Linked DNA regions of Daphnia pulex. The main gene of each other region encodes a partner of the protein of the gene in region 2 in a complex. Links are inferred from orthologs where the notes say so. Each region holds a gene or a part of one and is shown on either strand. Other genes may lie near its edges.

Region 1 (4,152 bases), on a different chromosome or scaffold from region 2:
TCGAACGCAGTTCCTCGGTTTGGCGGACGACAGTCGATGACCTTGACCGTAAAAGACCTCTTTTTTTCACCGTTTTAAATCGAAGGGGGGTTAACAAACGTCAATGACCCTTTTAATTGAGAAAAGAAAGGGTAAATCGACGCCCTTCTTCTTTTTTTACTACCTGTTGTATACGGGGACTTTTTTTAACGCTTGGAGGTAACTTTTAAAACATTTAAATTGCCGGCCTTCTGAATTTGGTAAAAGATTTGAAATGTCGTCGTCGTAATGGAAAATTACAGACTAGAAAGATCGTCTCTTGGGGTTATTCTACTACTAATACAACCTCGAATGGTTGTCCTTTTATAGGGCCAGTGGCTACATGGAGACCTTGAACGAAATGAAATCAATCTTTTTTTAAAAATAAACTACTATTTGGGAAAACAGCCAATCTATTCCAAGTTAAGCAACAAATTGTCGAGTAACCTTAACCCTATTTTTCCTAGAAATGGGAGCAAGACACTTGGTACAAATAAATTTCAGGTCAGGATAAATGTGTTTTGTAATAACATACGGTTGGAATTATGTCACAGCACTGTGTTAGTAGTACCATAGAGGAAGGAGTGAATGACGAAATCAAACCCAACACTCTATGGCAGTACGTAGTTGTTTTGGAATGAACAAATATCGTCGATGCTCGTAAATGCGTAAATATTTTTGTTCTAGAGTTTTATTTTGTCGTCTGCTTGACTCGTCCGATGCAGACATCTAGCGAGTGTCTGGTAGATTACACCGAAGGTTACGATTGGTCAATTTCGGAACCAGCCTACAAAAAAATCAAGGCCCCGGTCGTTCGATTTTATTAAATAAATATACTTGATTGTGTCACATGATTATGTCACTTCAATGGTCTACGTGCATCAGTATCAATATATAGTGACCTCAATTCTTTGATGAAGCCTTACAACTTTGTCAATATGATGCGAGCATCTCCATTGCGTGACGCTACAGGCAGTTACAAAATGAGCCCATGATATCATCTTCTCATCTTCGTGCTCCATTTCCTTTTAATTACGTACTCGGTTACATTTTAATCAAAGTCAAGTAGGCACTAGAGGCAACCGCGGCTGTGGCCTGGCGGCATCAGCGTCAGGCAGGATGAAATCAAATCAGTTGCAGTTGCCTAGTAACATAATTGAATTTTTCCTTCAGACAATTTAATTAAAACGACGAAACATCGCCTTCGCCTAGCGAATTAATTAGATATTTTAATTACACGAAAATTATGCAGAAGCTACGCGTAGTTATAATACCACCGCAGAATGCACGGCAGTTGTCTGATTTGATTTTTCAATGTTCGTCTGCTTGCGTCTCCCCACCTTTTTTGTTGTTTCCATAAAGACATCTTCTGAGCGAAAAGGAAATCCTTGATATTAACGTATTCGTGTGTCATTATGTCGGAAACCAAGCCTGGTGTGTCTTTTGCCTTTAGTTCAAAAAAGAAACATGATAACGTGAAATTAACTCAGTCGAAACTATTGGATACGACTCAAGAAACTCGCGAAGAGACTGATTTCGTCAAAACTGTCGAGCACAACAAAATCAATGGGTATGTTGCTTTTCCCGCCACAAAATATTAATTTTACATTCATTTTCTGCATTATTCTATTTAGATCCATCAAAAAAGCACCCAAAAAGGAACTGGTTATTCCTCTTATAACAAAGAATCGGTGGAGGACCCCTGGCAGTGATACCAAAACCGAGAACACAGAAGCATCAGACTTGGACAAGCAAGCCGAAAAAGAAATCCTGCAAGAAACACTGAAGGCTGTTGATGGCTGGGAGAACAGAGGCAATGGCGTACCCTCCAACATTGATATCCCCCTATTTATGCAAAATCGTGTTCCATCTGGCTTTGAAACAGATGAAAAAGTAGATGTTTCCCTCCGTGCAGATCAGGTACTGAATTTCGCAACTGCACCTTAATTATGTAATTAACTCTTGACATTTCTCTCTAGTCCACACTTGATGATTATGAAGCGATCCCAGTGGAAGCCTATGGAATGGCCATGTTGAGAGGAATGGGTTGGAAAGCCTCAGAGGGTATCGGTCTCTCTAGAAAAGGGTATCATTGCCATATTTCACATTAATTAATGGTTCTGAATTCTCATCAAATTATCTTTTATTCAATCAAGAGTGGCTGCTCCCATGGAGGTGAAACTTAGGCCTAAAGGACTTGGTCTTGGGGCTGACCGTACTGTTTTAGAAAATGCAGCTAAAGCTTTAACAAAGCCAAAAGAAGGCGAAGAAGAGCTCAAAGTGATTATCGGTGCAAATGTACAGTTGCTCAGCGGGAAACATCAAGGTTTATATGGACAAGTAAGTAAAAATTCTATTAAAATCTGCCATTAAATTATAACTAAATTTGTTTCATCAGGTTCTTAGCATGGACGCAAACACTGGTCGTGCTCTGGTGCGGATGGCTGTCGGAAGCAACGAATTGGAAATGAGCGAGCTCTTTCTGAAACCAGTTTCTGCTAAAGAATATCGTGATTCCGCCAGGATTCTGAGTAAATTAAATCTATTTCAAGCCAAATTTCTTCTTGAAATTAATCATCTTTCTTTTAATTCTCAGACAAGGAAAAATACGACGAGTACAAAACGAAACAGGACAAGGAGCGAAACGAGAAGGAAAGAAATGATCGCGAGAGCAGAAAGAAACGGAAGCATAGTCCTAGCCATCGTAAGTAGTGATAGATTGTCCTGTCTAGCTCCTCCTACCCAAGGTCACGCTTTCCTACATTTATCATTGGCGTTCTCGTGCCAGCCGCCCAGCCCGTACCGTCAGAATTTCCCGTTGTTAATTAATCAGTTTGTAATGAAATTCCACTATAATAATTTTTTCCTTTTATTTTAAAAAAGGTAGTCGTCGGAGTGGCAGTCGGGAGCGCCGTGATGAGAAGAAAGAATCTCGTTCTAAAAATCGGTCGTCGAAAGGTTCTGACGAGAAACGAGAACCTTGGCTTCACCCACTCTTGCGAGTCCGCTGCGTCGATTCTTCATTCAAGGACGGCCAATTCTACAAACAGAAAGTAAATAAAAATGTCCTAAAAATAAAAGATGAATTTCTCTCACGCCGATTGGTATGAATTCCAGATGGTTGTGGTGGACGTGATTTCCAAGAATCATTGCATTTGCAAAGCCGAAAACGGGAAACTTTTGGAAAACGTCAACATTTCTAAATTGGAAACTGTCATTCCGCGTAGCGATCCCGCTTACGTCATGGTCGTCAAGGGCAAACGAAAAGGACAGGTTGTTAGCTGAAATTTACACACATGTTGTTTTTGTTAACTTGTTTATTTTTTAATAAAAAGGTCTGCCAAGTGATTGAAAGGGACAAGGAACGATACACGGCCACCGTCCAGATTCTACCGGATCGCGATGAAGTTTTCCAACTAGACTACGACGACATTTGCGAATACACGGGAGATGTGCGCAACTTGTAATCACAAAATAACTCGACTTGGTTTTTAAATAAAAACAAATGTGCTATTCGTGTTTAATTTCATAACGATTTTCACCCTTTTTGTCTTCATTGTTGCACCTCTCACATAATTTGCTACGTGACCCAGACAGCTGTGGCAATCTCTCATTATGCAAATGTTTGCCGAAAGCTCTCTCTCTTATCATTTTAATGATACGTTACGCTAATGCAAATTTTTCAAGTGGAAAAAGAGATGAGAAAGTACAAGGCGCGCCAGTCAGTCTGGCAAGAACTTTGTGTGTTTTCAATGGGATTTATTAAAGTATACACCGGCATCGTAAAAATACACGAGCTATAGGGGGAATACGGTAATGGTACACACCTTTCACGTGCGTGTTCCCCTTTATTTTTGCATCGATATTTTTCGGTACAGAGTACACTGAACCCACACAGCGTAGCTCAATCAATTCACGAGAAAAGCGTATAGGCTACCACCCTACGGGGGACAGTGGGGGGGCTTTTTTTCGCTCGGTCATTTCTCATGACTCCCGCCGAAGTCCGAACGAACGAACGAACGATGAAGGTCTGCTGTGTGCAGACTACGTAACAGCTCAGTAACAGGGCCGCTCTTCAGTTGTTTCCTTACTCTCGCAGCTGATTGGTCGTTGCCTTGTTACTGCGAGACTTAT
Region 2 (4,312 bases):
TCGTGTTCATGGAGAGTGCGTATAGGTAAAAAACGTAAATAAATATATCTTTAAGATTAATTTACATGAAAGTATTTATTTAGCTCTAGAATTTAAAGAAATTGAATATGAATACAAAGCTGTTCATTTAGTGAAGGGAGGTGGTCAGCAGGTACTAAATTTTAAAATTATTAAATCATCACAATGTTCACAGTTAAACCCATATAAATAGCTAAAATACCGCTGGCATATTTTTCTATGTATTTAGAATGCTGATGACTATAAAATCATAAACCCCATGGCTCAAGTTCCATCACTAACAATTGGGGACAAAGTTTTCACTCAGTCGGTAAGAGGGACACTATATGAATATGACACTATAGATATATAAGACCTTCCAGTTCAAATTTCAATGCATAATTTTTACTTCCATCTCCTGTACATTTAGGTAGCTATTTTGGAATATTTAGAAGAATCTTATCCTTTAAAACCCTTATTGCCAAAAGATGGTGTGATTAGATTCAAAGTGAGAGAAATATGTGAAATTATTGGTTCTGGGATTCAACCCTTACAGAATTTGGCTGTACTTAAACAATTTGAAGAATCTAAACAGAAAGATTGGGCTGCTAAGTGGATTTTCAAAGGACTCACTGGTAGGTGAAGATCTTCATGAATATATCAATAAAAAAATTAATAAACTCTAAGAAATATGTGCAAAGTTTATATAAAAACCCAATTTTTTATTACAGCATTAGAAAAAATATTAGAAACTTCCAGTGGAAATTACTGTGTTGGAGATGATGTTACAATGGCTGATTGTTGCCTTATCCCACAACTGTACAATGCAAGGAGGTAAAGACTAAAGTTTCCATGATTCGTTTCATGTTCTCTTTTTCTCACGCTTCGTCTGAATAAGGTTTGATGTGGACGTGGCACAGTTTCCTAATATTGCTCGTGTGGAAAAGAATCTCGAAGTTCTTGAGCCTTTCGTAAAGGCTCACCCGAGCCGACAACCAGATTGCCCGCCTGAACTTTCAGCATGAAAATAAAACAAAAAAATTGATGTGAAATAGTCGGACTTCAGTCCATAGAATAACGATATTAAACGATGATTATAATTTGGTCGATGGGTTGCGAATACGGGAGAATGAATTGCAATGGAACTTGTTATGCTGTTTGATATTTACTGAAAAATAAACAAAATTTGCCATTATCACTTATCAGATATTTGCAATATTTATGTCTTGAAACTATAGAATAAATAGAGTGTATTCCAGTATTCCTGTAAAACTGAAACCTGAAAAGTGCTAAATCCGGTTAAAATCTTTCAAAAAACCTGTTGAAAGCTGGTAAACAATCAATCTGGCAACGTCCGATTCGTCGTCTGTTCGGTTCGTACGAGTCGCGCTCGCGCAACTGCAATCTGCAAGAAGCATCACTTGCTCGTGTCAGTTCAATACTACAGTACCAAGTGTCAGTCATAGACTCATATCTGTTAAAACCTTATTTTATTTTTTTTACAAGTGCTCATTTAAAAAGTAATCTAAAATGGATTCGGGTGGATTCGGTAAACCACAAAAACCTCCTAAAGTTGCCAAGGTTGTAATACTTAAATGTAAGAATGCTCTTGACATTACTTATAACACATTTCTCTTTAGGTTAAAAACAAAACACCGGCAGAAATTCAAATCACTGCTGAGCAGTTGCTTCGGGAAGCTAAGGAACGTGATCTTGAAATTGTTCCACCAGTAAGTGTTTCGGCAATAGATAACAACTTGAAGAACTGAAGTAAGAAATTTTCTATTTTTAGCCCCCTAAACAAAAAATTTCAGATCCCGATGAGTTAGCAGACTACCAGTACAAGAAACGCAAAACCTTTGAAGATGCTCTGCGGCGTAATCGTAATGTTATTACCAACTGGATCAAGTATGCTCAATGGGAAGAAAGCCAAAAAGAAATTCAAAGAGCCAGAAGTGTTTTTGAGCGTGCTCTTGATGTAGACCATCGTAACATTACCCTTTGGCTGAAGGTAATTAATTTTCATTTGTTAAATCTGTGAAATAATAAATATCTAATTTTAAAAAAATTTAGTATTCAGAAATGGAAATGAAAAATAAGCAAGTCAATCATGCCAGAAACTTGTGGGACCGTGCAGTTACAATTTTGCCTAGAGCAAATCAGTTTTGGTATAAATATACCTACATGGAGGAAATGCTGGCCAATATAGCTGGTTGTCGTCAAGTATTTGAAAGGTGGATGGAATGGCAGCCAGATGAACAAGCTTGGCAAACATACATCAATTTTGAATTAAGGTAAATAAATGTAGTAAATACTAACGTTACACTTATCAACGTCCAATTTTTGTCCAATAACTAGGTATAAAGAATTAGATCGTGCTCGCTCAATTTTTGAACGGTTTGTCTATGTGCACCCGGAAGTAAAAAATTGGATCAAGTATGCCAAGTTTGAAGAAAGGAACGGTTACATTATCGGTGCCCGCCAGGTGTATGAACGGTCGGTGGATTTTTATGGTGATGATCACATGGACGAAAGGCTTTTCATAGCCTTTTCCAAGTTTGAAGAGGGCCAAAAAGAACATGAACGAGCAACTGCTATTTACAAATTTGCTCTCGAACACATGTCAAAAGATAAAGCAGCAGAATTGTACAAAGCCTACACAATTCACCAGAAAAAATTTGGAGAGCGTGACGCTATAGAAGACGTTATTGTCAGTAAAAGAAAATTTCAGTATGAACAAGAAATTAAAGAAAATCCATCAAATTATGATGCATGGTTTGATTATTTACGCCTAATGGAAAGTGAAGGTATTTTGACTTACTATCAAATTTTTAAGGAATTGTGTCGAATGTGTATTGTATCTTTAGGTGACGCTGACGTTGAAGTAGTGCGAGATACATACGAAAGAGCTATTGCCAACATCCCGCTAGTAGCTGAGAAGTCCTTTTGGCGTCGTTACATCTATCTGTGGATTAACTATGCACTTTTCGAAGAACTGGAAGCCGAAGATTATGAAAAAACTCGACAGGTCTACGATTCATGTCTTAAGCTCATTCCGCATCGTAACTTCACATTCGCCAAAATGTGGCTCCTTTACGCCCATTTCGAAGTTCGACAGAAAAATCTGCAATTGGCGCGTAAAATTTTAGGTACTGCGATTGGTAAATGTCCAAAGGTAAATATGTTTCAGTATTTTTTCTTTCAAATATGAAATCTAATTAGAGGCCAGTCTATGAACCAGTTTTTAATAAATCTGGTTATTTATAGAACAAGTTGTTCCGTGGATATATTGATTTGGAGATCCAGCTGAGAGAATTTGACCGCTGCAGGACATTGTATGAAAAGTTCCTCCAAAACGGTCCAGAAAATTGCACCACTTGGATGAAATTCGCCGAACTAGAAACTTTACTGGGAGATGTGGATCGTGCTCGCGGCATTTACGAGCTTGCCATCAAGCAGCCTCTACTAGATATGCCAGAAATTCTTTGGAAGGTAAATTAAACTTTAAATATGTGCACAGATCTCATTCCTAATGGAGTTGTGTTTGTTCTTCAGGCTTACATCGATTTTGAAATCGAACAAGAGGAGAATGATAAAGCCCGATCGTTATATGAGAGACTTCTAGAACGCACGCAGCACGTAAAAGTCTGGATGAGTTTTGCTCAATTTGAGCTCACTCTAGCAGCATCTCAGCAGGAGGACCCAAGTTTGCCAGTCGCAGCAGCTAGAGCAGTCTTCCAGCGTGCAAACAAGTTCGCATTTCTTTGCTTTGAACTATTAGCCTCCGTAAATTACCTTCTTAATTCCCCATTATGTTACTAGGTCGCTACGTTCTATAGCTCAGTCAGTCGGTCTTGAAGTGGCTACCAACAAAGAGGAGCGATTGATGTTGTTGGAGGCTTGGCAAGAATTCGAATATGAATATGGAGATGAGGGATCTCGCAATGCGGTTGTTAACTTGATGCCTAGACGTGTGAAGAAGAGGAGGCGGATCCAAACACAAGATGGGGTATGTGATAATATTTTGCGTTTAGATGCAAAATTTTGTGCGTTGCAATGTTTTTTTCTTTTCTTTTTTTTTTTAGACCGATGCTGGTTGGGAAGAGTATTTCGACTACATTTTCCCCGAGGATGAAGCTACTAAACCCAATCTTAAGCTCTTGGCTATGGCCAAAGCTTGGAAAATGGCAAAAGAATCCGCTCCATCAAACCAGGAAGAGGAACTACCCAAAAGCAATGCTCCATTGGCTGACACTGTGTTACCACCAGTGTCCTTGTCCACAGTCCCCGACGATCGCGATGATTCGAGTGAATC

The links. The genes of interacting proteins can lie anywhere in the genome.
Region 1: crooked neck-like protein 1 (region 2) and G-patch domain and KOW motifs-containing protein-like share a complex: the UniProt entries of both Homo sapiens proteins name them as parts of the minor spliceosome. The link is inferred for Daphnia pulex from reciprocal best matches to the Homo sapiens genes CRNKL1 and GPKOW.

Annotation. Positions count from the first base shown.
Region 1 is NC_060019.1:137,222-141,373, reverse strand, and holds G-patch domain and KOW motifs-containing protein-like, read left to right. Parts: upstream 1-1,336; 5' UTR 1,337-1,433; coding exon 1,434-1,588; intron 1,589-1,652; coding exon 1,653-1,938; intron 1,939-1,997; coding exon 1,998-2,104; intron 2,105-2,174; coding exon 2,175-2,358; intron 2,359-2,416; coding exon 2,417-2,549; intron 2,550-2,614; coding exon 2,615-2,722; intron 2,723-2,901; coding exon 2,902-3,071; intron 3,072-3,135; coding exon 3,136-3,291; intron 3,292-3,353; coding exon 3,354-3,485; 3' UTR 3,486-3,543; downstream 3,544-4,152. UniProt on the Homo sapiens protein: RNA-binding protein involved in pre-mRNA splicing. As a component of the minor spliceosome, involved in the splicing of U12-type introns in pre-mRNAs.
Region 2 is NC_060026.1:11,199,186-11,203,497, reverse strand, and holds the start of crooked neck-like protein 1, read left to right. Parts: upstream 1-1,436; 5' UTR 1,437-1,527; coding exon 1,528-1,578; exon of another isoform or gene 1,579-1,581; intron 1,582-1,637; coding exon 1,638-1,727; intron 1,728-1,789; coding exon 1,790-2,008; intron 2,009-2,070; coding exon 2,071-2,291; intron 2,292-2,355; coding exon 2,356-2,804; intron 2,805-2,864; coding exon 2,865-3,172; intron 3,173-3,264; coding exon 3,265-3,489; intron 3,490-3,552; coding exon 3,553-3,749; intron 3,750-3,819; coding exon 3,820-4,006; intron 4,007-4,082; coding exon 4,083-4,312. Other genes in the region: probable maleylacetoacetate isomerase 2, read left to right, coding at 1-25, 84-151, 248-328, 428-632, 729-831, 896-1,022. UniProt on the Homo sapiens protein: Involved in pre-mRNA splicing process. As a component of the minor spliceosome, involved in the splicing of U12-type introns in pre-mRNAs.